4 linked regions of the Drosophila melanogaster genome follow. Changing the gene in region 2 together with the main gene of any one other region gives a genetic interaction. Each region holds a gene or a part of one and is shown on either strand. Other genes may lie near its edges. The genes, in order: Hayan, Spn27A, PPO2 and spz.

Region 1 (7,952 bases), on a different chromosome or scaffold from region 2:
TTGAACTAGTATAAGCTTTCTTTTTGAAATTCTAATAGTTTCTCGATTCTGAGTAGCACTGTTTTATGGTATTTCACCTCGCTAAGCGATTTGCGCCCATTTCCCGGGAATGCTAAAGGTAATTCCGAAATCCCGGCGAGAATGCCAGGACATGGCTCATTTGTCAAGTTGGCTTAGCCAGACTTAGCCGATTTGCTGGATGCGCGGGGGCGGGGTGTCAGGAATCGGAATACGGAATACGGAGCACGGAATACGGAGTACGGAATCATTAGTCCCGGTGCCTTGGCACCTGTTGTGTGGTCCGCGTGCGCCTACGCCCGAGTCCGGGCTGTGTTCGAACGGATCAGGAAACGTTATCGCCGGGCACGATGTGGAAACAGATGTGCCGCCGGAATCAATTTCCCACCGTGTTAGTACATGCCACCCAAATAGATAGTGGCTATACATATGGTGGGTGGACTGGGCGTACGATAAACACAGTCACTGTCCATCAGATAAGCACAAGCACACAAAGATCGACTTACATTTACGATTGCAACTGTTTGGTGGAAGTTTCAACTTTTTGGGGTCAGGTCAGGCCGACGGACTCATGAATTCGGGCGGTGGTCACTCAAAAAAAAAATGTAACAAAAATAAAAGTAAATAAACAAACACGACGCGAACTCGGGACTTGTGTTAGTTCAGTTTAGTTTAGTTCGATTCGGTACACTTCAAACGCCTAACGGTAATCGTGTTCAAATTCCAACGGATTCGAGACTTTATGTGCGTTAGGAATGCACCTTCACCGCTGAGCAGGCAAACCGACAGCTTCGCAGTCTCGCGACCAACTGAAGCCCGAGGAGTCCTGGCAGCGCCATTTAAGCAGCTCCCACTTTTGCTGCCCGCAGGAGTGCGGCCTTGTGGGGAGAGCGGGGGCTGGTTTGCTGCGAGCGGACGGGGCCAGTGGGTCGGTGGGTGGTGGGTGGTGGGTGGTGTTTGGCTGGCTGTTTGGCCGCAGTAAGCCGGCAGCACTTTGTAACGGCGGCGAACAGCTGACTGCAAAAGCTCAGTAAGCAGCTTTTGTCGCAACTTTCGAATGCCACACCTGGCAATGCCGCGCGCAGCGAGCTTTTGCGCTCTCAGTTCTGTTTACGTACGAGCGGGTGAGGCGCAGACAGCGATAGTTTGACAGCTGTCCCGAAACCAGGGCTGCTGCAAAACGTCAGTGGGTAAAGTGCTTGGCACTTATGATACCTCTTAGTTGCCTCAGATGTTTGAATTTCTATTACACTATTATACTACACTATTATACTACACTATTATACTACACTATTATATAAAATAAAATCGATTCTAACATTTTGAGGAACTGAATGAACAACCCTTATGGCTTCTTTAATGACACTCACTGAATTGTGTCGAACTTTGTCTAAAGACAAAATACCTTTATCAAACACTTTTGATGGGAAACACCATCCGATCCGTTCAAACTAAATTTATTGCAGATCAAATGACGCCTCAGAAACGATTCGACGGCCACACGATACCCTCGATATAGTCGAGAAAGGAGGAGACGCGTGTGTAGAGGCCCGGGGTCTTGGTGGCGCAGCCGAAGCCCGAGGAGATTACGCCTACGATCGAGTAGGTGCCGTCGACGTCGTCAATCTCCAGGATGAGAGGTCCACCGGAATCGCCCTGACAGGCGTCCTTTCGCTGATTCTTGTCCGCCGCGCACAGCTGCGAGGCAATCACGCCCCTTCTCAACGTCCGGTTGGCACTCGGCTGTTCCGCAAAGGATGCATTGCACTCGTCGGCCGGCACCAGATCCAGAGCCGCCCGCAGCAGGATCTTTGATACGGCACGATCTGTAAAGACACCATCGAACACAATCCAATCCTGCAGTTTACGCACACACAACTTACTGGTCACATTCATTACACCCCAACCGGCGACGAAATATTTGTAGTTCGCTGGCGGATCACTGCGATCCGTGTAGAGACAGGCGGGACGGATGACATCGGACTCCTTGGCATCCTCGGCCAGCTGCAGAATGGCGATATCGTAGTACTTACTACTGCCGGAATAGTCCGGATGAATTTGAACATCAATCTGCCAATGGAAGTGAGTGAGTTCAACTGGTTATCTCGCACCATGTGTCACATGGCGATACCAACCACATTGATGTCCTGGTAGCCCGGCTCGGGATTTTCGATGTTCAACGCACCCAGACGGACGAAACTGGGTGTGCTATCGTCACTATTGACGCAGTGAGCCGCTGTGAGGACGAATCGACTGGCGATGAGCGATCCACCACATCGGAACGCTGCGCTCCCGAAGGAGTTGTACGCAATGGCCGCCATGTGGGGATAGACGCCCCTATCCACCCGTTCGCCGTCCAGAATGTGCACCGTCAGGGGCTTTCCACCGGATCGGATCTTCTCACACGCTATCATCAGATGATAGGAAATTTAATATATATTGTATATAATATATCTCCAAAGATATTTTCATATAAAATATTCCAAAGAATGCGCAACTCACCTGCCACCGACGGTCGCTCCTTCTCGGGAAGATTGACGCGGGAGGGATTGGGATTGGGCGTCGTTGGCCTGCGAAAGACAAGGTATATCAGCGATTAAAATTGGGCTCACGATGGTTTCCACCTGAGACAGAGACTGCATGCGGCTCCCTGGCTGAGGCCAACTGATGTCCATGCCAAAAGAATGCTCAGACAAACCGCGTCTCGGCTGGATTGAAGATGCTGGGAGCTGGATCCGCGTCTAGATTATTGCTGACATCGTTCCAGGGTTCCTGGGGCTGGGTATCCTTGTCTCTGTCCTGGCCCCGAAATCGGTAGGGTTCAAAGGGATCGATCAATTGCGTGGGCGTGGGTGCGGGTGTGGGCGTGGGCGTGGTTTGCAACACCATGGGCACTTCTCGAGCAGGCTCAATCTGCATTCCCTGCTCCCGCAGCCGATCGTTGACCAAATGTATGAGGTTGTTATTATTGGGGCTTGGATTGGTATTGAAATTGGAATTATTCGGTCTTTGGGGTCGTGATCGAGGCGTGGTCAGTGGACGGTTCACAATCCGTGGCTCACGGCCCCACTCCGGTTCCATAAAAGATCTCTGGGTGCTTGCAATGGGTTGAGTCTTCGAAGGAGCTATGCCCCAAGCTCCAACGCTTTGGATGGGCAACTTCATGGGTTCGTGTGTGGGCAACTTCATTGACTCGTGAGTGGGCATCTTCATGGACTCGTGAGTGGGCGTCTTCATCGACTCCTGTGTGGGCAACTTCAAGGACTCGTGGGTTTTCTGCGGCTTTACTGTGGTGCTTAGCAGCTTGTTGAAGTCAAAGAAGTTCTGATTCTCGTCCAGCCGACTTTCCCGCTCCCTTTTCCCCTCGGTGGTCGTTGGAGGCAGTGGCTCCGGTTCTGGTGTTGGTTCCCGCTTGGGTTCGGGTAAACTGCTGCGCTCGGAGCTCGTAGCATGGAATTGGACCTCACGACCTCGACTGTGGGAGTGAGAGGTGTTAGTCTGGCGTTGGACGCCGGTAACCGGGGCATGCAACATCGGTGGGCACACAGCACAAGCGGGACACACACAAACACATATATATGGTGCACAAACAGGAGGACAAAAAACAGGACAATAGAGCGCAGAGGCCAAGGAGACAAGGACACGCTTACTCAGTGGCACAGCAGGCGACGGTGGGGCAGCAGATGATCTCCTCGCGGGCGCCAAAACCACAACTCGGCACCTGGCTGGTGGACAGCGTGCCCGACTTCAAATATCCTCTGATGTTCTCGCAGGCTGAGGAGGAGAGGCAGATTCCCGGTATGTCCGACCTCACCTGGCAGGGATCGCCCTCTGCAACGAGAAATGCGGCCAGCTGGCAAGGATCTAGTGTACGCGCCGCAAGACATCCTACATACCATCCCCAACTGTTACATACGCAGAAGTTGTCAGCACCAGGAGACCCAGAAGGAAGTACCTTCTCGCCGAGATCATCGCCATCGGTCAGCTGAAATTCCCAAAAGCATTAGTGAATCCCATTCTACTTGGTAACGCTTATCAGCCTTATCAAAACCGAAAATGGAAAACATCATTTTCACAACAGGGGAAGCCCTCGTCGAAATGGTAAGGGAAAAACAAACGAGATCTGTTTCTTTCAATCGACTCGACTTTCAGCTGATTAAACCGATCCACATCCACTGCCATTGACCCATTTACGATTTTTTTTTTTTTTTAATATGGGAACACCACAAAAGCATTCTCCATATGAACTGCTCGATTGTAGTAAGCCAGACTTGATTGATTTCATTTGAGAGACTTTGTGTTGATGGAAAGTTTGTGTTTGCCGATTACGACGAGCATTTCACCAGCAGCGCCGCCAGGTGAGATCAGATGATTCATGGGAGGCATGCCGCTGGGATTTTACCACCGGCTAAAGACGTGTACTGCCAACTGATATCGCAGCTACGTCGGTAATAACCGATACGAAAGTAACACCTGACAATTATGCTGCTCAATTGAGCAGAGAGTCGTCAATGTGTCTGCAGTTCAACTGAATCATATATATCCGATTGAAGCAATGCAAAAGTGTCATGACATCACCTGTTATCGGCCCAAATGAAATTGTATTAAATAGGTATGCGATTGCTAATCAGCTTCCGGCCTTCCGCAGTAATTGCCCATTGTAAACACGACGAAATCAAAAGTAGAACATGCAATACATAGCCCCACATCCCCACATCCCGCAATCCCAATGTCCATTGTCCACTGTTCACTGTACACCGACGTCCGCCTTATCGAACGCACCTTTGACACGACCTTTTTTCGGTCTCTGATAAGGGAGTAGTACGTCTACGTATCGATGTCGTTTATTGAGTGCGTCGAGCACTGTGGTGACTATGGCAATCGGGCACCGCACAATACAATACAATTTAATTCAATACCACATAAACAAAACAAAATCCAAGGGAATTACGAAAAAAAAAAATAAAAAATAAAGAAAAAAACACCGCAAAAAGCACACCAGCAGAGTCAATAAAGCTAAAAACCGGTGGCTATCACAAATCGCGGCGGTATGGAATCTGCTGGCTATTTTCCCGGCTCTGACCGCTCAGCAACGCATCGCCCAAGCAACTGAAGCCAAGCTTCTGAGCCCCAGCTGGAGCTGGAGCTGGAACCGATGAGGCCCATTTAGACGTCGACCAAGAAGCGCCGGACCCAGCAGCTGATAGCACCCAGAGCCGATCCTCTCCCGCTGAGCGGCGAACCGGTTTCCCATTCCACCACTTCGCAGAATCGCAGAACGATCCGAAGCGATCAGAAGCCAGAGCACACAAAGCACAAAGGCAGCCTGTAATTAGCGAGTGGGTAAGCAACAGGCGAGCGGTATGGACTAAAGGATACCGCGTAAGGTCTATGCTGCGCTTGGTGACCCCGATATTTACACCTTTAAAAGTCGAGTATAATTGTGTCACAGAATCGTGTTTTAGAACTTACCATATATATAGTTTCAATTGCAGTAATCTTGTTTTTTTTTTTTTTGTATAATTCTTCTCTAATTAAAGTGGTGACCCAGATACTTACTTTCTTGCCTAGGTTGCGACCTAGGTGGTGACCCAAGAAGTCCTTTTCAACTTATAGTCTGAAACATATGCTTAAAATTTAAATTTCTTATGACAAATCTTTCTGAAATAAATGCATTCTGTTTGTATTTCCCCATTTTTTTTATACAGTGCAGCAATTCAATAAAAGTGGTGACCCAGAAATCCCTCTAAAATTAAACAGAACCAGAAAAATCACTTCACAGAGTTCTGGAAACCGAACTGCCAGAAATAATATTGTACCGATTGATTATATCTTAAAACGTATCTACTTTATTGGTATTAAATGGTTCGATCGCGGTGCTCATAGAGATCACAGATGAGTGTTTGCCAATTGCGATGGATCAGGCAGTCCTGATCCCAAATAGAAATAATATACATACAAAAAAAACAAAAACTTTACTTTTCCCAACTTTACACCCGATTGTCCGGCCAGACAATGCCCTCGATAAAGTCCAGATAGGACGAGACACGCGTATAGAGTCCCGGTGTGACGGTGGCGCATCCGAATCCCGACGAGATGACGCCCATGATGGTGTACATGCCGTCCTCCACGTTGAGCTCATGAATGAGCGGCCCACCGGAGTCGCCCTTGCATGCGTCGGCGATGAGCTTTTGATCAATGGCGCACAGCAACGAATCGATCACGCCCTGCTTGAGCAACCTTATGGAACCGGGCTGCTCCGCATAGGATATATTGCATTGGTCCAGAGGCACCAGCTCCAGACCAGCGCGCAACAGGATCTTAGATCGCGCCCGAGCTGCGGATGGTTAGCCATTAGTGGAAGTGGAGGATATGGAACTTTTTGTGCTACCCACTGGTTACATTTAGGACGCCCCAACCGGCGACAAAGAACTTGGAGTTCGATGGCGGATCGGTGGCATCCGTATGGAGACAAGCGGGCCGGATGTTATCCGTCTCGACGACATCACGTTCCAGTTCCAAAATGGCGATATCGTTGTACTTATTGCCCACATACTGCGGATGGATCTTAACGCTTCGCTGAGATATGGTATCGATCAGAATGGCTATAACTTAATGCATAAGCACAGTGACTCACTATGACGATATCCTGGTAGGAATGGTCTGGATTTTCAATGTTCACAGCTCCCAAGCGAACAAAGGCCGGCGTATTGGCATCGGTGTTGACACAATGTGCGGCGGTCAGGACGAAGCGACTGGCGATTAGCGATCCGCCGCATCGGAAATCGGTGCCAAAAGTGATGTAACCAATGGCCGCCATATGGGGATATACACCCGGATCAACCGGATAACCGCCCACGATGTGTATGACCAATTGATTGCCGCTCCTCTGCTGTTTTCGCTCGCGAATCTTCTTGCAGGCTATATCGTGGGATTGGAAATAAGTAGAGGAACTCTAGGAGTGATCTGATCAAAAGAGTAAGCACCTGCCACTGCTGGGCGATCACCGCTTCCGAACGTGGGCACATCGACACGACCACTGGTCATTGGAGCTTTTGTGCTTGTGGTGGAGCTTGTGGAAACGCTTGTTATGGTACTGCAAAGGCAAACAACCCATTTCTATGTGATCCCAATGGAAGCAATTCGCGGATTACCTATTGTCACAGCACGGCTTGGTGGGACAGCAGAAGATCTCACCCCAAGCGCCGAGGCCACAGCTGGGCACATCGTTGAGCGTCAGGACTCCCGACTTGATGTAGCCATCGATTAGGGGCTCACAATCGGAGGATGTTCTGCAGATACCGGGCATGGTATCCGTCACCTTGCAGGCCCGACCCACTGAAACAAACGCAAGATTCGAGTCGGGCAAATACTTGATGTGACCTGGCTGAGATCGGAACTCACCTGTGACGGCTGCTTCCACGGAGGAGCAGCTGATGAGCACAAAAGTGCCGAGTAGCAGGGACCACTTCAATGGCATCTTAATTCGCTGCAATTAATGGAGAATGTAAATGAATGAGCTTCGCCATGATTTTCTGATTACAATAAACCAGCAGCCATTGACCAACTTATTGAGTACAGATGCTAGACATGAACTACAGTCACTCCTGGCATTGGAGGGCCAAGTGGGTGAGGAAAACTCAAGATTATTTTTTTCTTCAAGGCAGTATTTCACCATCCAACGGAAAACATAACATGGAAAGGTTGGATCGGTTGATTCACCTTTTTTTTTTGGCGACTGTAATCTTCGTTCTGTCACTCAGTACGAGGGGTATTTATAGCTGATATCGAAAACCTCCTAAACTATCTGAGTTGGGGATTTGTTTCTGATAAGGACAGAATGCTGTTTAGTTTGGATAGAGCCGCTTACGCTTATTGATTGTGAGTGCTGAACTAGCTTGCAGTAATTATAAGCTAATCACATGTATGATTGT
Region 2 (6,448 bases):
GCACGGTCATCGCCAGCCAGTTGCAGAATCTCCACAACTTGGCCATTGTCCAGCAGACTCTTGCAGCCAGGCAGCAGCCGCAGCATAATCCACAGACGCAGGCGCCGCACCAACTGTCGCAGGAGGACTTGCAAGCGCATGCCAATGTGATAATGCGAAACGCCGTAATGAAGCGAAAAATTGAGGAGCAGACCTCGAAGCTTATCAATGGCGGTGCCAAGCATCAGGCACAGCAGCAATATCTAAACCGTGGCCAGCAACGCCAGGCTCGACCAGATGCCAACTCGAATGCCTTGCTCCATGCCTTGATCTCTGGCGGTGGCAATAACCACGCCTCTGGTTATCCTATGAATGGACAGCCGCAGAAGCATCATTCCAATTTGAGATTCGGTGATAACCAAAACTTCCAATCTTTTGAGTCCAACCAGCCGCACTTCGCCACGCAGTACAAGCAGCAATACCAACAGTCTCAGCAGCAACATCCCCATCAGCAGCCCCAACAGCTGAATTCGCTTCATCAGAACAACGCTGGAGCTGTCAATAGCTTCAATAAGGCCCAAATGCAAGCTCAATCAGCTATTTCCATGCTGCCCAACAGCGGGGGTAAGTCATTTTAGTACCTAATTTAGAAGATCTATTATATTATGATACAATCGTACAGTGGGTACTCTCCGTTAAGTTTACCCTATCATTTGTGCTTTGAAAGCAAAGTCATCACATATAACAGTTAGATTTGTAGTTTCTTGACAGCGTTATGGTCATAGTTCTAAAAGTCGGGTTAATACCCAAGGGAGGAAATTTATATTTTTACATTTGTGCTGAGTTGTTATCATTTACGGTAATATTATAGTTAATAAGCTGCCTAATGGCCTCCCCTTCTTGGTATTTCGCTTATGTGTCTGAGTCAGACGGTCAATTTTCAGGCTGATTTTTCGAAAGCAGAGCAAATATGCACTTTGATGACCACTTTCACGTATTATCTGTAAACGGGTTTTTGTTACTGCAAACATTGCACACTTTGCAATGCACTTGATCACATCTGCGATATATTTACAAGCTGTTGATTCAGATTATCACTTGAACGCCTCTACAAGGATGAGCTGGCTGGAGTTTCGAATCAGAAAGATAAATAAAACATGAGAGATAGGGCATTTAGTCGAGCTTAATATATATATATATATATGTTTTTTCTTTTAAACTAATAGACCTTGTTTACACTTTTCGTTAATACATCGTTTAGCCCTAGAAAACATTAGGACTTTTATAATGATTTCATTGATGAATAGCAATTGAATTGTATTAAGCTAACAAACTTTATCATATACTTGTTTCTAAGCTGCGCTTAAATTCCCAAGCTTAGCTGGCTTCCTTGTTTGTTCAAGAGATCACCAGAACGTGGCTAACTACGCAAACTTAAGATTTCCCAGTCGAACAACATCTCAGCCAGCCCCCTGAGTCATGGGTTCTATTTGCCGTCGACTATGTGCGCAATCGGTTACCCATCGATCTCCCCATTGGATATTGCCGATGTTACGTTCGTGGGACATTCCCAGAGTTAGCAGGTATTTGCATCTCTCACTTGATTGCTGCCTTTTGCTTTCAATTGTTCGTGGCATGCCTGGGCGAGGCATAAATATAAAAACAAACATTTAACGACAGCACCAGTGGCTTTATCAGCCAGCGGAATGTTGTGGCCTGTAGATGGGAACCGACTCGCTGGGGGAATCGTCGCCACGCACGATTACTGAAAAAGGGGTCAAGAGCACAGATTCGTTTCTCGTTTGTAGGATTCAGCAAAATGTATTAGAAAGCTTATCCACTTGCAACACTTTTCACATCATATTAAGGTTAACTGAAGCGCAGAGACTCTCATTTGTTTGTATATTTATTGCGTATTTAAAGATAAAACCGCCTGAGAGGCTTAGTTCTGGGTGGTGGGTGAGTGGACTTTGCCGGCAAACAGTATGTTACCAGTGGACTCCTCCTCGATAAAGAACACAAACGGCCGGTTTACGTTGAATTCCTCGATGGCGGTGCTGCCACCGAACTTGTTTTCGATCTCCACAACGGTGGCTGCGTAGGCCTCCGTTCCCTTCTCGTTCACATTAATGCCGGCCTTCTGCAGGATGTTAGACACCTTTACTTTGCCGGCGACATCAGCGCCGCGGGTTAATCCCGGCAGCGAGGCGCTGTCCTCAAAGATTTCGCGCACACCCAGGCTGCGCAACGTCTCCTTAAGGTTCTGCTGGTAGTCGAAATGGAACTTGGGCAGCGTCACCTTCACTTTCACCTCCTCCATGGCCCACTGAGCGCTCTTTAGCTCGTCGTTTTCCAGGTTCTTGACCAAGTCATGGATGCCATTCAGGGCGTAGGGCAGCAGGACGAACAGGGAGTTCTTGCCCTTGTAGGGCAGACGCAGAATCTGCGCCTTCAGCTTCTCCGAGGTGGTGTAGTAGAAGTAGTCGGTCTGCTCCATGAACTCCGCCCGCGACTGGTCGTCCTTGCTGCGGAAGAAGGATCCCTGGAATGTGGTGGCAAACTGCCGCCGCCACAGACCGTTGAAGTAGATCAGATTGGTCAGCAACATTACGCTGCTGCGCACGTTGTCCGGGGCTACTAGCTGCTGAAGTCTGCCCTGCGTGATGTTGGCGGCCCAGGCGTTGATGGCATCTGCCGCCGCCTCGGGATTGGTGAAGTCTAGCGCCTCCACCTCGCTGTCGTAGAAGTGTTTCAGCGTGGCCGTGAACTTCTGCTGTGTCTCGATGAAGCTGTCCGTGAAGAGCTTGGTGCGCACACTGAGCGTCTCGTGGAGCTGGTTCTCCTTCTTGAAGGAATTAAGTGTCTTGCGGTAGAACTCCCGCACATTATTTTGCGATCGAATGTCTGTTTGCGTGTTGGCCAGCTCCACTTGCGTCTGGGTTCCGGCTCCGGCCGCCTCAGCCAGCAGGGCCAGCACCAGTTTGACGGAGAACGGCGAGATGATCACATTCTTGTCGGCTGTCTCGTTCTGCAGCACCGTCTTCAGTAGATGCCATGAGAACGGATCGTGCGAGTCGCTCCGGAAGGGCACAAAGGTATCTATATCGTCGTAGATACCCGCTCCACTGGGCACGCTGGCAGCGCCACCGGGCAGCTTGTCCGTACGGGTTTCGAATACGCCCTGGGGCGTCGTGGTCGTCGGTATGGAGTTGCCGTTGCCCGTGGCTAACGCACTCAAAAACAGCGACAGCAGCATCACTGCCAAATTTCCGCCCATCTTTGTCATCTGTGCTTCCCTAAGCTTCTGCGTCTCGATCTTCCTCGGGTCTTTGCTTTCAGCCTCTTATTCGCAGCAAAACAACTGTTAAATGCGGGCTTTGGTGGGGCGAGCGGCGAGAGAGCGCCGGTGGAGCGAGCGATAACCGTTTCACGCGCCGTTCCAACTGAGAGTGACTGGTGCGCCGAGCGGGCTGGCCATTTTAAAATCGAGCTCCAGCTTCAAGCCGCTCTTGACGCCGTCCTCTGCTGCTGTGCTGCCGCGTCGACGGGGCAGCGCATGTGTGTTTTTTTTGTTGGGACTCCCAAAGCATACGTACGTCATTATCGCAAAGTGATGAGTGTGGTTAAGTGATGAGGGAAGTGAAGGGAAACGACTAGACTATACAGTGCATCAGTGCACTCAGAGAATTTCCATGCCTGTATTGACAGGATTAACCAAAAAACCTATACAAATATTTAAGGATCATTCATCATTATGAATGTTATTTTGTTATTTTGTACAAATTAGTTGCGAACAATATCCGCCTTTATTAGGCTTTCCCCACTTCAGCTATTTGTGAATTATTGCATAGTCATCAAAGAGGAAAGTTTGCAAATGTTATTATTCTTAAACTACGTCACAGTTTCTTTCACGCCCGCTGCAAATACTCAAGCCAGTTTATGAATAGCTATTAATAGAAATTTGAATTTCAAATAAGCTTAAGTTGTGTCGGGGATAGTCTGGCCACGCTGACAACTATTATAGAACTCAGTGTTGGTAAGTGTCGGCTAAACAAAACAGCTGATCTGAAATAAATTCTCATGGTGCGTTGATGTAACAGCAGCCGGCGAAAGAAACTTGTGCATTTAATGAGAAATAAATATAAATAGCCAAAGTAACCGCACGTGCCATGCAAATTCGTCGTCCGCGTGGTGTCACTGTTCCGCAATTGATGGTGGTCACGGCCATTGGGCTGCTAGGCGGTATTTACATTTGGCAACCGCTGATTTTGAAGTACAAAAACGAGAAGAAAACCGAGGCAGAAACGCCAGCAGTAACTGAAACTAGTGGAACCACAAAGTTAGCCCGCACACTAAACCCTAATCTGCTGGCTAAAGTCATATATTAATTGAATTCCGTTCTCGCCCACAGATGAGTTTCATTAACGGCTTCAAAAGATTCGCCACAACGACGGTTGGTCTGATGGCCATCGGTATTGGATCGACTGTTATATTCTACACCACCCATCGCCTTGTCATCAAACCCTATCTTCTCGAGAAACGACGCCTGGAAGCCGAGGCCAGTGCGGAGTACCTCTTCCAGCAGGAGGTTCACTCCCAGATTGGCGAGTCAAGACCCAAACGGAGCGAATATTGAGCCAAGGCTGCCAGTGCCGTCATAGACATCTTTACATACTTATAGCCTAGTGATTAGTTACCAAATTTCAACGCTGTAACATGGTGAACAATGAATGGACTTTTACTTTCTTACCTTCACTTTGGGTGGAGAGGCCCATCTTCTTGTGTTCATTTTAGAGTTAAACAGAATGGATTTTTTATGAAAGTAATATGAATTGAATAAATAATGAAAAGCACAAATGGTTTGAATAAAAGACTAGAAACATAAACAATTAAAAATCACTGTGCTCTGTTCACCGTATGCCTTTGTACAGGCTCAGGGAGCTGCACTTGTCCTTGGCCTTTTGCTCTTGCTTTCTCAATATCGCCTCGCGCTTATAGGTGGGAAAGAAGTTCCACAGCGAAAAGGTGTCGTCCAGTCCGCCGGTGGCAATTTTCGTTCCATCCGGATTCCACATCAGGAAGAGGGTGCCGCGATCCTGATGGGACATCAAGTCAACCACGCGGTTTAAGGAGGCCAAGACCAGAATTTCGCACACTGCAAGGTCCGCATCATCTGTAGATATTAGAATACATTATTTTTAGCAAGCATTAAGGATCCAGTGCAGTTCTCACCACGCCGAATAACGTTGACCAGCAACTCGCCCGTGATTTTGCTGTATGTTAGTGTCTTTATAACGATTCTGTCATCCCTGCGCCTGTACGAAGCCACAAATTGTCGGCGCGGGATGTTGAATATGAAGATCGACGCAGGGCTTCGCTCCGCTGTTAAGATAATATTCATGTTGCAGATACTCTAATAATTAATCTGCCACTATCTTACCAACGGCTAAATCCTCTCCAGTCCACGGATGCCAGTCAAAGACTATGGACCTGCCGTCCAACTTGAGCAGGCGAACCTTTAGCACCGCATCGAAGATGAAAATCTTGCCATCCGTATCACTGGATGCGAAATACTTATGGGTGGGAGCAAACTTCATTTTCTTCACCGTGTGTCGATGCTCGCGCAACTGCATCAGGGTGTTTAGCGTGGGCATGGCCAGCACGATGATGACGCCGCACTGAGTGCCGCAGATGACCTCTTTGCCGTCGTGGGACCACTCAATGCAACTTATGTAGCCCATGGACTTGAAGAACAGCTTGCGGTAGGAGACCAAGAACTCCGTAGGCGACCTCACCTCCCAGAGGTCCAGAACTTGTACGAAAGAGGAGGGTTAGGGCTTTACAAAGTTATTGCTTAGGGTCTGTTATACCTGGATAGTTTCTATCCATGCAGCCGATTGCCAGGTGCTTGCCATCCGGCGAGTACTTGAGGGAAGTGGGCGACTCGACGCTGAAGACCATGGTGCTCTCGTCCAGATTGCGCCACAGCATGACATCCTGTCCGGAGGACATGGCCACCATGCCGCCGGACGACCAGTCCATCATGTTGTAGTCGACGGGACTGCATATGCCAGGCATCTCATGGGTGGCATTCTGAATGGCATATGGTCGCGCCCGTGGATTACATGGCCAGTCCGAATCGGCGGAGTCGTTATCGACCACCCTGGATCTTGTGCCCTGCTGGCTGCTAAACTGAAACAGGCGGCGCTCTCCGATGCCAAAGGTTCGGTTGATGTTCGATATGAAGCCGCTCTGTCGCCAGTAGCTGGCGGTCAAAGTGACACCCTGATTGTAAAAGTCATTTTCAATTAATAATGGAAAGTATATATAGCCAGAAGTACTGCACACACCGTTTCGAGGATATCTCGCTCCTTCCGCTTGCCAATGTACTTCAGGTTGAACTCGATGTTCTCCCGCTCAAATCGGTTGGGTATGAATCTTTCGCCGACATAGGACACCTCCTGCCCCT
Region 3 (6,733 bases), on a different chromosome or scaffold from region 2:
ATTCACAAACGTCTTGGCCTCCAGGTCAATGTTGGCTGCTGCAGTTGCGCACTAAAATAAATGACAATCAATTAAAAGCAGCAAATTCACTTACAATATTATTGCTATTACAGGCTTAGTTTAGTCTAGGTCTTCTAAGTATCCTCAAACTATATAGAAACTGACACGCATCTAAATGAAACATATTTCAAACACGCAAAATTATGATTTAAAGTTATCTAAAGACCACATCTTTTTGTGGGATCTTTGTGGACCCATAGATTATTTAATCGGTACAGTGCTTACGCCAATGCCCGCTATCAGCACCAGAAGCAGCAGCAGGCCCATCTCCTCGGGAATCGGTTTCACTTTCGCACTCAACACCGGATCTGCTCGAACTGAGGTGCTCCGGCCGTGGAGCTGGCATTTAAAGCTTCTCCCGGGCGGCTGATAAGCCTAATCAGCGAGAGATTCTCGCCCGGAGGCCGAGCCACAATAATTGAGAACAAAAGTGGGATTGTGGAATGCCATGATGTCTTGTTTATTAAGCGGCTCAATAAAGATGCAATAGATTGCTAAGAGTTGTATATCTAGAAGTGGGCGAGGTCATGGAATCGGGTCAGGGCGAATCGGGAAAGCGAATCAGGTGCGGATCGTCTAGTTTGGGCGCTGCACGGTGCGGTTCTCGTGGCGGATGTTCACGTCCACGATGCTCATGTTGGGCGTGAGGAAGTTAACCAGGCGGTCGACTCCGCTGCGGGGCAACCTGTCGAAGGGGAATCCCATGGACTGGCGATCCGGGTAAAGACGGTCACGGACGCCACAGTAGGAAGCGGCATCGCTGCACCGACCCACCAATTGCTGGTCAATCTGGAGGTGGAGATAATTGTCAAAAATATCCTTGATTTACTAGCCAGCTAACATACCCTGTCGTTCTCATAGTTCGACACCATGATGAACAGCACGCACTGCAGTCCCTCGGGCAGACCCTTTGGCACCAGCATGTGGTTGGGCCAGCCGCAGCCGCAGAAGTTGAACTCCAGCTCCTCCGGAGTGCCGGCCGCCGGACGATTGGCATCCAGGTTGCGGAAGGTGCGCTCGAACGGAATGGTCACGCTCGACTCCGTGGAGCGGCGGCGGATGGTGTTGGGTCCCGGGTTCAGCGAAGTCACGAACTTGTCCAGCTCGATCATCATGGAGCGCTGATCTCGCATCAGCATGGGCTGGCCACGCTCGTCGTTCTTCGGCGCCATGAAGATGCGCACGTAGCCGAAACGCTGGGCACCACTATCGTTGTTCAAACTGATGGTATAGGTGAAGGGCAGATGCTGCAGGTGGGTGAACCTGGCGAAGACATTACCTCGCGGCAGGAAGTCGAAGCCACGGGACATGTCCACGTCCGACTGCTGCCAGAAGGTGGTCAGATTATTGGGACGACCTCCATTGGTGTCCACCTGGATGCCCGCGATCGAGACGCCCGGGTAGTTTAGTTGGTTCTCGGTATAGGCGGGCAGGCGCGACTTGTGCTCCTGGAAGATGCGGTCGATGTACGAGTGCCACTTGTAGAAGACCGGGTCGCGCATGGCCGTGGACACATCACCCATCACGCCAAAGGACTCCAGGTGCTTGCTGGTCGGATCGTGGGCGTACGAGATGAAGGTGTGTCCGTTGTTGTGCAGGTCACCATACTAGGGGAGCAATAGGATTAATCCCTAGAATAATTTACTAAGGGTAAGGACTTATTACCAGCACTCGGTTGGGCGACAGAATGGATGATTCAATCATGTTGCCGAGGGTATCAATGCCCGTCGCCTCATCCAATGGCACCCGGTTGCCACGCTCCTGAAAGGGAATATGGCATGTTATTTAGTTAATGGAAAACCCACCAACAACTCACATCCATGACAAATCCTTGGTGAATGGCCTCGTAGATGCGATCACGCCAACGCTCCAGATCTCCAATCTCCACATTCAGCTGGTCGGACTCCCGGTTGAGATCGCTCAACCTGGTGCTCTCGAAGCGCGGTGGCCACGCGCGGCTGGCTACCAGAGAGTCCATCTTGGGGAAGTAGCCCTCGGCAATGGGATCCCTCAGGTTGTTGAAGGGCAGAACCCTGGCCAGGTTGTTGCTGAACCGCTCCGCATTGTAGCGGGCGATCACCTGCTGGTGCATGTAGTAGAAGAGCTCGCCACGACGATCCTTGGCCACTATGCTGCGGTCGGAGGCCTCGAAGGGGTAGACCAGATGCCAATGCCAGTGGTGAAGGTTGATGCCCAGATCCTCGCGGAAGTACCACAGCCGGTGCTCGGGATCCAGATCGGAGGCGGTGTAGTCCCTGGGAATGGTGATGGGCATCCGGGAACCGGGCTGCACCACAAAAGACTCCTCCCGCATCTTGCGGATCACCTGCGAGTCGATGAAGCGGTCGGGGAAAGTCTGCGAGAAGGATGGCAGATCCAGGCCCTGGGTGTCCGGACGATGGAGCAGCGCCACCGACAAGGCGTAGTTGAAGAGCACCGGGTTGACCCGATCCCTGGCGTACACCGCCACGCTCTGCAGGTCGTCCACGGAGCGCATGTTCATGAATATATCGATCAGGCGGCCGGCGATCCTGCGGTGCTTGGGCAGGAACAGCGAGAACTGCTCGTCCCGGCCCAGGGACATGGGGATCCGCAGATCGGGAATGGAGATCTCCCGGACTGGAACGCGCTGCTCCACCTTGTCGCCGACGCGGCTCTGCACCTCGTTGCTGATGGGTCGGTAGCGGTCGGTCAGGAAGGAGTCGGGCACATCGAACACGGTCACCCTCTTGCCCTTGTCCATGAACACTGGCTCGGTGGGATGGTCGAAAAGCAGGAGGAGATTCTTCTTGTCGGCCATTTTCAATGGGATGTCAGGGAGGACCTGCTGGATCGCGGAGCAAACTAAATGGGGAATGTGACTGGAAGTCTGGGAACTTCACGACTGTGACTATTCACCGAAAGAACTGCACATTTTATACAAAACTTCGAAGGCACTAGTATCGGTTTTGAAAACCACAAGAACGCCTGAGAATTGAAATTGTCGACAAATTGCGGCGATAAGGATATAGTATGGAAACCGCAGTGTTGTTTTAGCATATTTCTAAAATGCAGTTTTATTATTTCAAGAGTATTTCATTTGGTTTTGCTTTAGCTTATCTATACATATATACTATTGGAATGAAATCGGATTTTGTTATCTCTGGGATATGCCTGCGTTGTAAATCAAAACTTCTCTACGCACACGATCCTCCGGTCAGATAGCATCACATCTAAACAATTTAATATAATAGTATGTATATATATGTAGCTACATGCATAATACGGCAATAATAGTTATTACAATTCGGCTATAATCGATCAATTCGTCCCTAATTCCCTACTACTGCTTTGATATACAATACATATATTTATTTAGCATAGCGCTAAAAAGAGAGATACAACGAGATATTTGGCGAGTGAAGAGATGAGCAATATCGTACGACAAGCGGATCTACATATATATAGCGTGTATATACAGGAAGTCTGTGGAAATTGTATGCTGCTGTTTCCGTTTCCGTTCTCGTATTCGTTGTGTAAAAGCGATAGGTTCAGTTGGTTAGTTGTTTAGATCTTGTAAAATGTATCTCAGAAAAGCCCTGGGCATGTCCCGTGTTCCTTGGCCATGATATGTAGTGTTTAAGCTCTTAGAATATAGAGTTGTGGGGTCTTCAGCTTGGTTCCGATCTCTCAGCCCGAAGAGAAAGTAAGAGGTGATGGCTTTTGTGTGAGTGTAAAGACTTTAATCACATCCAAAAATGCATACACATGTATTTACATAATATCGTGCAGTATAAACCAAGAGTTGTACAAAAATATATCTATGTTTCTGTATATATAAATATTCGATCGTGTTCGGTGTACATATGCAATTCAAAACAGAATTCAGTGCCGTTAACAACTCAAAACTGTTGTTCAAATCGATGTGTTGATGGGGATATATTGTAGTTTGATTTTAGTTCGGTTCAAGCGCATTTTTATCTACCCTTGTATACATATACATACATATAAAACTGGGGAATACGATCCGGTAACGTCGGGGCATACATAGTTACAAATAGTTCTCGGTACATACATATAATACTTGTTCGATTTCGTTTTCGATTTTGATTCACTTCTCAACTTGGGGAGTCGGTTGTCTCTAAGGATTGCATGTGTATATTGGTGCCCAAATAGTTTCAGACTACGCTAAAGCTACGGATAACATCTAGTTCTAGTTCGGTTTAGTTTGCCTTTGCTCGTTTCTTTCGATTCAATTCAATTCAAATCGCTTGCTCAACTTGATGGCTTCAAAGTACAGAGTACGGAGTACACACACACTTATATATCGAGGAACTTTCACTACTTTCAACAATATCGACATCAACAACGGGGATCCAACGAAATGTACACTTTAAACGACTATCCGGTGCAAATATACATGGGTTACTCGATCGGAGAGAATGCCTGGCCTTTGTACTGAGGTTCGCCCGTATCACACATCCGCTATCCGCTATCCACTAATCCAATTCAACACTGTGCCTACTACTTACTTACGCAGATACTTTGAACGTCTGGGACTCAGGTACAAGTTTCTTTCGATGCGACGTGGTGCAGCTGTATTAACCGAAGGTCAAATCAGAAGTTTCAACCCAAAAACCCAAACCATAAAAATGCGATCCCAACCCGCGCGCCCCACATCGTGGGCTGACTTCCGTTCCGTTAACTTAGTTCGAGGAGGTGGTGTTCTGAAACTCCTGCCGGCAGTAACCCATCACAATGTCCGATCGGCAGTCGCCGCCCATTAGACCCGGCAGGAGCACCGCCGCCCCCAAGATGGTCACCAGGGCTCCGAAGACCACCAGGCCCAGAGCGGGCAGCTTCTCCCGGCTGAGCAGGGCGTGCGGCTCCATCTGAATGTAGGCCAGGCCGGGCAGGATGTAGGCCAGGGGAATGGCCGCCAGGAGACCCTGAAATGGGTGGATTGTTGAATGTACTGATGGGCTGACGGGCTGATGTTCTGATGGGCTGGCTGATGGGTGGGGCATAAATTTGCATGGCAAATACAAAGACGGGTTCCGGCCAGAATTTGTAGATGCCGTTTGGGATTGGCGTTGTGGCCAATACCCGTGACTGGAATACAAGGGGCAAATGGCTACGGACGATAATAATAAACTTGGCCATACGGTTCTCCCTTTGGTCTGGCAAATGTGAATGGTGAAATCGGAATTAGTCTCAGATGTATTTAATGAAGCATTTGGTGGATTCTTTGTTGCATAGCTTTCTACTTGAATATATGGACTTTGGGAATTGGAATTTATTCTCTTTCATCTAGGCCAAATATTCACTCGGAAATAAATGCAAACGAAAACCGTAATAAATAATCTTTAAGTTTGCAAATTGCTTAGTCGAAGTTATCTCGATGATAAATGGTCTGAGCATTATAAATGATAAGAAATGTGTTCTTTCGGAAACTAGGAACATAAATGATTAATTTGTACATTAAAAAAGGTTTTGGGTAAACTCTTGCTGATTGTGATTAAACTAAAACACAAGTAAGCAGCTGAGTTTGCGGATTTAAGTTATCGCGTGTATTGAGGTAAAACCACAAAGTCATAAAGTGGGATAAATAAACATCAAGTGGACTTGTAAAAAATATTAGTATTGAAAGAAAGTATAAAGAAGATTACAAGTGCACATGGTCGCAATGATTTAAATAAATGTAAAAGTAAAGACTTTAAAGTAAGACTTTAAATGTTTCTTATTTCATCGGATGGGTACCATTCTTACATATATATAGAAACGCCTTCTTTTGGTCAAGGGTACCCAACCCATTTTCTAGGCGAACATGGATAAGGGACATGGAAAATCCTACTCACATTCAGCTCCAGCACCGAACCCAGGCAGTCGGTCATGGGCGAGATGACGAAGGCGCTGAACACGATGGCCATGGTAATGGCTTTCGAGTACTCATCGATAATGGCCCCCTTCTCCAGGCTGGGGTCCTTGTCCTGGGTGAACTCGCTGATGGGCTCCTTCAGCACGAACCGATGGACGAGGGCGCGCACAATCTGTGGGGAATGGCCCAAAATAAAAGTATGTTGCTAAACTGGCTCTGCGATTCCGGATGCTCACCTCGCGGGACACGAAGCACTCGATGGGGAAGGTCAGGAGTATCGATATGGAGAAGAGCACACGCGAGAAGTTCATCAGGTCGTCATCCCAGCAGTAGTTCTCCAGCAGGTCGCCTGCAAGAAGGAAAGCCGAATCCCATCGGGATTGGAACGGTCGTAAGCAGTAAATACTACAAGTATAGTAAATGCCGAAAACAGCAGACAGGAAACATCCACAAATTGCCTGTCACTGCAATTAAATGCAATTTGTGTCAATCCCTCACCTTGGGAAAGAGCGCGGAAGGTGGAGTAGCCGGCGATGCCGAAGAGGGCCGCCACCGTCCAGGCAAATCCAATCGAAATGTGGGTGACCTTCTCCCAGCGCTCCATGGTCGCGTCGCGCATCGATTGATAAACGAGGAAGGTGTTGTGATGACACATGAAAGCTGCACGGACGGATGTCCAATAAAAAGATAGATAGATACATAGATAGATAGATGGATGGATGGGATACGCATATGGATATATATGGAAGGCAAGTGGAAAGTCAAGTGGAAAATCCACACTCTGCTCACCGAAGACCATGATGCCCGTGGCCGGGA
Region 4 (8,960 bases), on a different chromosome or scaffold from region 2:
AAATGATTAAAATTAAAAGAGGAAGTATATTTGCTCATTAAAGCTAATCTACGCACATATTAACAGGTATTCAAAGCTTTACAAAGTTAATCATACTACAACTATTGCAAGACATTGTGAAAAGTCTTGACCTTTTCCAATGTATCAATTCTCAGACAAACGTATGATTCAATGTTTACTAATAAGTTGTAACTTTAGCCGTTTCGCTGAAAGTAATTAATGAAGTTAGTTAAGGCGGTGCTAACTTAAAATTTTACTGCTAAATGGATTTCAAATTAACATTTAGGATAGTGGAAGCTGAAATTATATACATTAACTTAGCTCATAAAAATACAATTTGGAAACCTCCTAAATATATGCACCACAAGCTTAATAGATCCCTAAAGTATGCAAGTAGATTTAAACAAGTTTGATGCAATCGTAATATATTGAAATGGTTTGTTCAGTTGAGGATTTAATTGATTTCTGAGAATTTTAGATTGTTTAGAACAGATATGTATGGGCATTACAATAATACAAAATTGCATCATCATGCAATTTAGTTATCTACTTACACAGCCCCCCTTCATTGCATTTTATTACGTACTAATTGATAAAGAAATTCTTATGAATCAACAGTGCAGCTGATGTTTCTACGAAATGGCCTCAACTCAGTCATTGGTGCATAATTCGGGGGAAAGGCTATGCTATGAGTAGATATGGCCAAGTAAAATGCATTCTGCTAAGAAGTTCCCGTTTTTCCATGGCGAACGACATCCACTTTGGGCCATAAACATAAGCACACAAGGTAGATCCATTCAGGCACGACTGCGTCAGATGCCGTTTACATGGCGATTACTTGCAGTGTGCGACTTAAAGATGCGGTTTTTTGTCCGCCGTTCTCGGAAATACCAATTGAGTCACCATCTTTCCCAAGCGCCTCAGCACGCTCCAAGGCGGCGACTGGCGGGCTAATTTAAGCGATTCGGATCTGCGGCTCCCATGACGCGTGCGCCAACGGAACTGGCGTTTGCGGCACCCGTTCGGAATATCAAATGTGTTAGAAATATTAGATGGGCTCCAACGTGGGGATAGTTTCATTGGTGGTGGTGCCGAGAGCAGAGCAGTTGTGCTCCGCGAGCTTTGATGCCGAGCTTTGGCCCGGCACCACTTTTACTTTCAGCAGCAACAAGTGCTGGCCGGCACCTTCTCACAGGTCAACTTGACCGACTGTGAGAAGCCCTACACTTGGCTAACATGGGTTTAGCCCGATAGAGAAGGTGGTAATCAACCACCCACTTGCCACAAAGTTTGGTTATTTTCAGCTCGGGGAAATTTCTATATTTTCGGGCTACCTATAAACTTGTTTTCTTTCTGGATTTAAATAAAAGTGATAATTCAATCGCTGCTTCTTTAAGTATACCTAATAAAAAAGCAATAAATCTCTAATCGCGTATGTTCAATAACAAGCGGACAGATAATAGTTAATTACTAAAATGGGTCGACGAAAAGGGCAAATTTGTACATAAGTGTTTATTAAGTACAGTATTCATTATTTCAAACGGAAACTTAATCATCCAAAATGCAGCTTTGATTGACTTCCGCAGATAACAAAGCTCTGACTTCGAGGCATCCAAACATTACTCTGTGGCTGCTCTAACTTTTTCGTAATATTTGTTTTAAAAAATTTTGCGATAACGAAGTTAATTTTTGGTGTCAAATGCCACTCAAACGATATGTACATTTTATGCAAAGCTTTATGGCAACTATGCTGATTAGAATGAATAAAATGTTTGTATGGAATTAGTTTTTGAAAGTATGTTTTTAACTTATGTGTTAAAATAGTACAATTGAGGGTTTGATATTCTTCTTAAAGCTCCAGTGATTTGTATTTGGTTTAACAACAGATGTAATTAAAAACGTTAGTCATTATAGTGTTAGTTTGATGTGCACTTACTTTTCTCCAAGTGTAATATGATTCAGATAATTCCGACTGGTAAAGTTTTTCGTGAAGCAGGCGCAATTAGTAGCACTGCTCGGAGTCAGCTGTGATAAAATCGCGGTCCGCTCGCCCAGACGTCCCGCTCCCTCGCACGACCCTCGCGCTCACTACCCATCCCGCTTCCACCGCCTCTGACCGGCGGCGTCTCGCTCGCGCACAGCGCCCGCTCCCGCTCACACTCTCGCAAGCTAGCTTAAAGCTGCACTTAAGCACTGAGCAATTGTTTGGGGGAGCAGACGAGTCGAGTCGGCGGCCTCTGGGCTCCACTTTTCATTTTCAGTTGCCTCCCAGACGTGCGCTCTCGCTGTCGTGTGTTCTCGATCGCGAGAAATCCAAATCGAAATCGCAGTCGAAATCGAACTTGGTTAATGCTTAACACTCTGCATGCCCGGGAGATATGGTGAAACTCTCGATCTGACCGGAAAATCCCAGCGCGCGTCGCTATAAACACTTAAGATCGGTGGCAGATGGTATCGGGCTTGAGGTCCATAAAAGCGCATTCATCTCGAGCTTTTCGTGTCACTCAAAGACGGCGCACAGAGCCGAAAAGTTGAAGACTCACATATCCTGCGATCAGCTACTTGGATAGCCCATTGCCCAGTTGCAAGCCAAATCGGTTATAAACGATATCAATATCGCGGCATTTCATCAGAGCAACCAAATCGAACCGATCCGAAAACGGTTCCACTAAAGCGGCGAGAGCGAAACTAAAGTGAAAAGCAAACCGACTAATTGAAGTGTCTGTCTGTGTGTCTCGCAAACGTGCAAAGGAAACAAACAAAACGGAATAGCCAACATATCACACAGAGCCACCGCACAAAATATTTATAAATAAATAAGAGGCAACAGTAACACCAGCTACCAGTATAAAGGCCCGGCATTAACATTTAGTCGTGCCAGTTTGTTTATTTTTTATATACGCAAAGCCCATAAAAAGAAAAAAACGCACAGATCACTAAAAAACAACAGCAGCCGGCGCTATAATAACAAAGTTGTAGAAATAAGAAAATTGGTATAAGACGCCACCGATCCGCCAATCACCTGCTATATACTATTACTAATCCCCGACGCAGACGTTCGCCGTCCGCAGAATCTATATATATTTATAAATCCAATTGATTAAGCCCGAGATCGAGCATGATGACGCCCATGTGGATATCGCTGTTCAAAGTCCTGCTGCTGCTGTTCGCCTTCTTTGCCACGGTGAGAAATTTACAATTTTACAAATTTCAAAACAGTCGAACCTCCATAAGGGAAACTTTCAAAAGAAGTTAAAGTTTTAAAATTTAAAGATCTTTGCGTCGAAACAATAATTTATTCCAAATCTATCTAATCTGATAAAAGGTTAAAGTCTCCTTGTCTTCTTAAGACAAGCACTTAAGATCTTAAGACTCCAGAACTTGATTTTTTGTTTATTTGAAACAGGTGCTCGCTTGTTCCAGTTATGAAAGTTCGACTGCATTTCTGTTTTTTTCTGTTCCGTGTTAATCTATGCTTAACATAACTGTCATTTCATTGCAATATATTTCGGGCTATGGGCTTTTTAGCTATTAAGATTTATTTTAGATTTTCCATAGTTGTTCTAGCAGTTCCATTAGCCGAAGGGCAGTTTCAAGTTTAAATTTAGTCACAGACTAGAAAACCTGTTCGCATTGCCAGCGGCAGGTTATGTGCAATTTTCATTCTCTATATGATAAATGCACATCATAGGCATTACAATAATATTAATTGACACAAACAATGCCAGACATTCTGCACACGACTTTGGAAGTAATTTACTGCCGGACAAATTGTATGATCATCTCTGTGAGAAAAGCAATTAGTTCGTATTAATGGCGTCGAATGTTAGAAAATCCGTTTGAAAAGCGCCCGAGAACTTTTGTCTTTCCGGTTTTCCGCGAATTCCGCAGCGGACCGGTTCTAAAGATCGTTTTCAGTTCTAGCTAAATTCCAATAGGTTCACGGAAAACCTAAAACTGTGATGGAAAAACGATCCAATGTTTGCCTTAGTTGCGTCTACGCCAAACACTGATGAACGCGTTTAAAAAAAGGTTGATTGCTAATTGATTGGGAAAAAACATTTCCGAGAAATCGCAAAAGTTCTCAGACAATCAAGTTCAGATGGGTTGGCACCTTAAAGCGGGTTTTCTACATGCTCGTCGAGACCCAATTTTAATTTGGGTAAATTCTGTTGACGATTCCATGGACTCTATTCAAGAATTTAAGCATAATAAAAAGTCTTGACGAGATTAGGGGCTATTATCAAGGCTTATTTATATCACTGCATATACATATATATATAACATAGAAATATTTTAAAGAGTAGCACTAAAAGTGCTGATAATTCTAAAATCGCCAAGCTATTTGCATAATTATGGTCCTCGGATTATCAATACATTAAAAGCAACTATTGGCTTGTTCTTTTATATAAATAACCTTCCGGTTGGATTATGTTGATTTTTATTCAGGATCGGCTTGCCTTTAGATTTTCCAATTATTCAGTCTTTATTGCTTGCGGAAGAGGGACATCCGTTTTCAAGTTGCTAAGCTAGAGGCAACTCTCGAGGGGATTATCAACTCTGATTTTGGACTCTGGCTGTTGTTATATGTATATAGGTTCGGGTCCTAACTCAACGGAACTATAGAATTGCGAGAGAAAACTGCGCTTGCCCGAAAAACAGCTGTTCAAACCTTTTGAATACGCAAATGTAGTGCCCGACAATAGAGAGAGAGAGAGAGAGAAGTCTGGGTTGACAAACAAACGAGCCCGAGCACCGACCCACGAATATATACTCCGTTGTCTTGGCAATGTTGATGAACTGCAAACAAAACTCTCACCTGTATCTTTCAGATAGTTTATATCAATATCGAATTAACGAAGCGACACGAGGCCGAGGTGAGGGCAGAGAAAACAGTGGCAGACTATAAGGCCCTTTTGGCTACCATTAACAATGGCGGACCCGGAAAGTCAGCATCTAATCACTTACAGGTGTGAGCACAGTGTCCCCGAGTGTCCCGAAACAGACCCAGTTGTATCGTTATGCTTAACACCTTAATAGCCTTAATTTGTCTGTGGTGTGGTCAAAACTTCTGAACCGAGACTAAAGTCTATTGTCTTGTCTTTTTATTTCGCCATTTTTGCTACAGTACGAGGCCAAGGAGTATGAACGTATCATCAAAGAGCTTTTTACAATAACCAATGATGAGGGAGTTGTCCTCTTTAATGTAAGTGTATACATAGGCAAATGCATGATTTCTCTGTAAAATGTGTCTTTGATGTGAAACGCAATTCATAGCTTCAAGGACGAATTGGTGCGCTGCTTTCTTATAACTACTCTTCATCCTATATTGCATCCCCATTTCACTGCTCATTTGGTTTCTTATTGGGTTGTGTGTTGTCTTTGTGCTTCCTTTTTTTGCCAATTGGCTAAAGACTAACACGAGTAAATTTTACCCGTACAGACGTCCGCGGACAGTGCACCCTTCATGCCCATACCCACCCAGCACGACGATCCGACCCAGAAACAGAAACAGAATCAGAATCAATCTCCGATACCCGAAACGAACCGCCATTACCATCAGTATCACAGCCTGATCCAACCAGATCAGTACTTCAAAGTGCAGCGCTCCCCGAATGGAAAGCTGAATCTGGTCTTTAACGATACGTTCGTATCTTTGCAGAGGACGGACACGGAGGTGCAATCCGAACAGCCGATACCCCCCCGACATCCATCGGATAGTAAGTACTAAGTATTTTAGCCTATATATGCTCAGTTACATTCGATACCCAAACATGCCTTACAACTAACTACTAAATCGATCCCATACTCACTGGCCAACTGCCTTTGGCGCTTGCCTAATTTTAGCCTTTGTCTTCCCCGATTCCCCCATAGCCAAGTATCGGCCACCACAATCCCCAGCTCGTCCTTTGAGGAATGACACTAAAGAGCACAATCCCTGCGCCAAGGATGAAAGCCAACACCTTAGAAACTTCTGCACGAATGTGGACGACTATCCGGACCTTTCAGGCCTCACACATAAGCTAAAAAACAACTTTGCCAAGTTCTTTAGCAACGATCTTCAGCCCACGGATGTGAGCTCTCGCGTTGGTGGCTCAGACGAGCGATTCCTTTGCAGGAGCATCAGGAAGCTGGTGTACCCAAAAAAGGGCTTGAGGGCGGACGACACCTGGCAGTTAATTGTCAATAACGATGAGTACAAACAGGCCATCCAGATCGAAGAGTGCGAGTAAGTTATAGCTTGAATCTATGATATATTCCATTAGCCTTGCTAATTGCCAAACCTTCCCTTCCAGAGGAGCGGATCAACCCTGTGACTTCGCCGCCAACTTTCCGCAGAGCTATAATCCAATCTGCAAGCAGCACTACACACAGCAGACCCTGGCCAGCATCAAAAGTGATGGCGAACTGGACGTGGTGCAGAATTCCTTCAAGATCCCTTCCTGCTGCAAGTGCGCGTTGAAGACTGGGTGATTCTGGAAAATGGGATTCTCCAGTCGATGGCTGCGACAATGTGATATTGAGGTGAGGCCACGATTTATTCGTACATTAAATTTTAAAAATAGGTACAGAACAGAAACGACTGACTACCAAGAAGTAGAGGATTTCAATGAATCCTTGCGACTTAAGGCGAACGCTTCACTTGACCAACTTGCGCAGGGTCCAGCCGACGGCGTAGAATCCCACCAGCTTTAGGGCCATTCCCTTGCTTTCAGCCTTCACCAAATGCTTAAACTTGTTCTCGAAATTGCCAACGACGCGATCCATCGGAATGAGATAGTATAATGTCTGCAATTCAGAAGTCTTGAAAATATGTTCGAATGCGGATTTTCGAACTGTGCTTTATCAAGTATTGTACTTAAATTCAAGAATAATGTTTCTTGTGATTCGAAGAGTCAAACTTTTCAGACTGAGACTACAACTCTAAATATGTATACAGCTTCATTGACATTATTTCCTTGTTAACTAGACCAAAAATATAAATTGTATCTCTTCTCTTTGCAGCAAGAAGTTTCACCCACCACAGAATGGCAGGCCAAACTGATCAGTGGTCATTGATTTATTCTATAATCTGCTGAATCCACACATAGACCAATGTGCATATTAATTTAGAGCTTTAAGTCGAGTCATTTTAACCATATTCGTGTCATATATTCATTTTTGACTTCCACGTCTAATGCCTAAGCTAGAAATGCAAGTAATTAGTCCTAGAATAAAAACAAAACAAAACACAAAACACAAAAAAAAAAACAAGAAAGATAGAAATAACGATTTGAAAAATGTATGTTAAAAAAAGATAATGTATAATAAATGTATGCAAGTACATGCCAGCAAAGTAAAGTTCTTTGAACCCATCAGCGAGTACCTGGTGGACAATTTATTTGCTTATTAACAATAATTCGGTTCGCCCCGCTGCGCAAACCAATTACACCCTAGTGAGTGTAAACACATTCCCCCAAAGGGGTGGTGGTTGGCTTTCACCGGCAAAAGGATAACATGCATCGACTTCGGCTTCCTGGCGCTGGATTTTTCCAACTGTCAGCGGGGCGTATGCGCGATGTGTCTTGAGGTGCTGGCGCTGGCACATGTGGAAATCAATAGTATTTATCGATTCCCAGACACAATAAACTATGTCAAAGTTAGGCCGAACAATGCGAATGCTTGTGGATTCGTTGTGGGCGGGCAAAGTGCCACAATTTAATTACTATTATTAGGTATCCTTCCCGTTTGGCCAAATCCAGTGTCGTGCCCTGGTCGATTGGGCATTGGCCAGGGTCATCAATCATGCACATCCCCAACAGCCACACACAGCCGCGTCCATATCAATTAGCAACTATCCATATATCTCCGCCCACCGATTTTATATATGTATATATATAATCGTAGAGTTTGGATTGCCCTTTGTAATGTACTTTTTCTCATTACGCCACTGGCTCCGTTGCGCGGATTGTGGTCACTTGGCGTCCCTTCGTGTTCTGTTCTGATTCACTGTGGAAATACACTGGAACTTGTATTCGAACGCCGCATACCTCAGATTAATACCTTAATCACTTAGCAATACTAGTCAGGTTGCACGACAAAGGTGCACGTTTAATACATAATCACAGTCAGCGTTTACACATCTGTATATTAAGTACGCCTGCGTTATCGGTGCTAATTACTTCTAAATCATTTGTTAAGTAATGCTCCATATATAATATTGCTGTATATTAGCTACAAACCATTTCGCGAAACGGAGCGACCCTAGCCCTAATGGATACAATGGAACTAAAAACAAGGATATGGACAACATGCAGGACAGTCAGACAGTGTCGGCGTTTTTGGGTGGGAATGGAGATGGGCTAGTGGGTCGCATTGGTGGCTCGTAATTGCCGCAGCACATTTGCATGGCCGAAGGAGTTAATGGGGGTTGCCTGATTTGTTTGTTGGTAGTACTATTGCCATTGCCAGCCAGCCAGCCAGCCGTGTTGTTGTTATTCGGTTGCTGGCTGACTGGCTGGTATAAATACGTTCTGTTGACGACGCCCGGGCTCCAATACGCCGGTAGTCGCTGCTTTAGACCAGTCAACCGCTGCACTGGCTCCACTTCGAGTCGATTTTTCCAGAGTTCTAGCTCCAGCTCTCGTTTCGGCCCCACATAATGCCAAATTATGCAACTGCCTACTGTTGGCAGTAGCGGATAAAAAAGGCAAACATTCCGGCTAATGAGCAAACGATAAAACCGATAAACCGTTTCCACTTGGTCACCAACTATTCCCTGCGTCAGCGCAACATGTGGGCGCTGTGACGTGCATTCGTAAAAGGCTCATCACCCGGCGGCTCATTGATATGCCCCGAAGTGTCTAGGAAAATCACCGGCAGACTGCGTTAAAAGAGCAGAAAAATCACACGCAATATGCAATAATCAGGGGCTTTCCACTGGACTGACTCATGACATGACTATGGAGGATCGCAATCGC

Evidence for each region.
Region 1: of Spn27A (region 2) and Hayan, changing one suppresses a phenotype caused by changing the other (phenotypic suppression), as found in Drosophila melanogaster (one study listed by BioGRID).
Region 3: of Spn27A (region 2) and PPO2, changing one enhances a phenotype caused by changing the other (phenotypic enhancement), as found in Drosophila melanogaster (one study listed by BioGRID).
Region 4: of Spn27A (region 2) and spz, changing one suppresses a phenotype caused by changing the other (phenotypic suppression), as found in Drosophila melanogaster (one study listed by BioGRID).

Annotation. Positions count from the first base shown.
Region 1 is NC_004354.4:18,478,641-18,486,592, forward strand, and holds Hayan (hayan), read right to left. Parts: upstream 5,133-7,952; 5' UTR 4,801-5,132; intron 4,004-4,800; 5' UTR 3,997-4,003; coding exon 3,915-3,996; intron 3,850-3,914; coding exon 3,669-3,849; intron 3,494-3,668; coding exon 2,717-3,493; intron 2,589-2,716; coding exon 2,521-2,588; intron 2,493-2,520; exon of another isoform or gene 2,426-2,492; coding exon 2,154-2,425; exon of another isoform or gene 2,089-2,153; coding exon 1,902-2,088; exon of another isoform or gene 1,845-1,901; coding exon 1,498-1,844; 3' UTR 1,343-1,497; downstream 1-1,342. Other genes in the region: psh (persephone), read right to left, coding at 6,009-6,355, 6,414-6,597, 6,656-6,939, 7,005-7,114, 7,173-7,356, 7,423-7,498. UniProt on the Drosophila melanogaster protein: Serine protease which, by converting prophenoloxidase 1 (PPO1) into its active form, plays an essential role in the melanization immune response to physical or septic wounding.
Region 2 is NT_033779.5:6,669,911-6,676,358, forward strand, and holds Spn27A (serpin 27A), read right to left. Parts: upstream 3,438-6,448; 5' UTR 3,266-3,437; coding exon 1,922-3,265; 3' UTR 1,155-1,921; downstream 1-1,154. Other genes in the region: cup, read left to right, coding at 1-603, 4,391-4,404; CG34310 (uncharacterized protein), read left to right, coding at 4,149-4,318, 4,396-4,615; cort (cortex), read right to left, coding at 4,890-5,152, 5,212-5,361, 5,420-5,791, 5,850-6,264, 6,330-6,448.
Region 3 is NT_033778.4:9,041,761-9,048,493, forward strand, and holds PPO2 (prophenoloxidase 2), read right to left. Parts: upstream 2,950-6,733; 5' UTR 2,861-2,949; coding exon 1,877-2,860; intron 1,822-1,876; coding exon 1,726-1,821; intron 1,668-1,725; coding exon 906-1,667; intron 850-905; coding exon 637-849; 3' UTR 501-636; downstream 1-500. Other genes in the region: Ance-4, read right to left, coding at 1-51, 286-327; CG13743 (uncharacterized protein), read right to left, coding at 4,746-4,988, 5,898-6,089, 6,154-6,266, 6,416-6,577, 6,707-6,733. UniProt on the Drosophila melanogaster protein: This is a copper-containing oxidase that functions in the formation of pigments such as melanins and other polyphenolic compounds.
Region 4 is NT_033777.3:27,063,368-27,072,327, reverse strand, and holds spz (spatzle), read left to right. Parts: upstream 1-2,257; 5' UTR 2,258-3,118; coding exon 3,119-3,184; intron 3,185-4,832; coding exon of another isoform or gene 4,833-4,970; intron 4,971-5,128; coding exon 5,129-5,206; intron 5,207-5,443; coding exon 5,444-5,720; intron 5,721-5,847; coding exon 5,848-6,229; intron 6,230-6,296; coding exon 6,297-6,474; 3' UTR 6,475-6,525; exon of another isoform or gene 6,526-6,639; coding exon of another isoform or gene 6,640-6,768; exon of another isoform or gene 6,769-6,892; intron 6,893-7,005; 3' UTR 7,006-7,240; downstream 7,241-8,960. Other genes in the region: CG43935 (uncharacterized protein), read right to left, coding at 6,640-6,768; Nep5 (neprilysin 5), read left to right, coding at 8,937-8,960. UniProt on the Drosophila melanogaster protein: The activated form, spaetzle C-106, acts as a ligand for the Toll receptor. Binding to Toll activates the Toll signaling pathway and induces expression of the antifungal peptide drosomycin.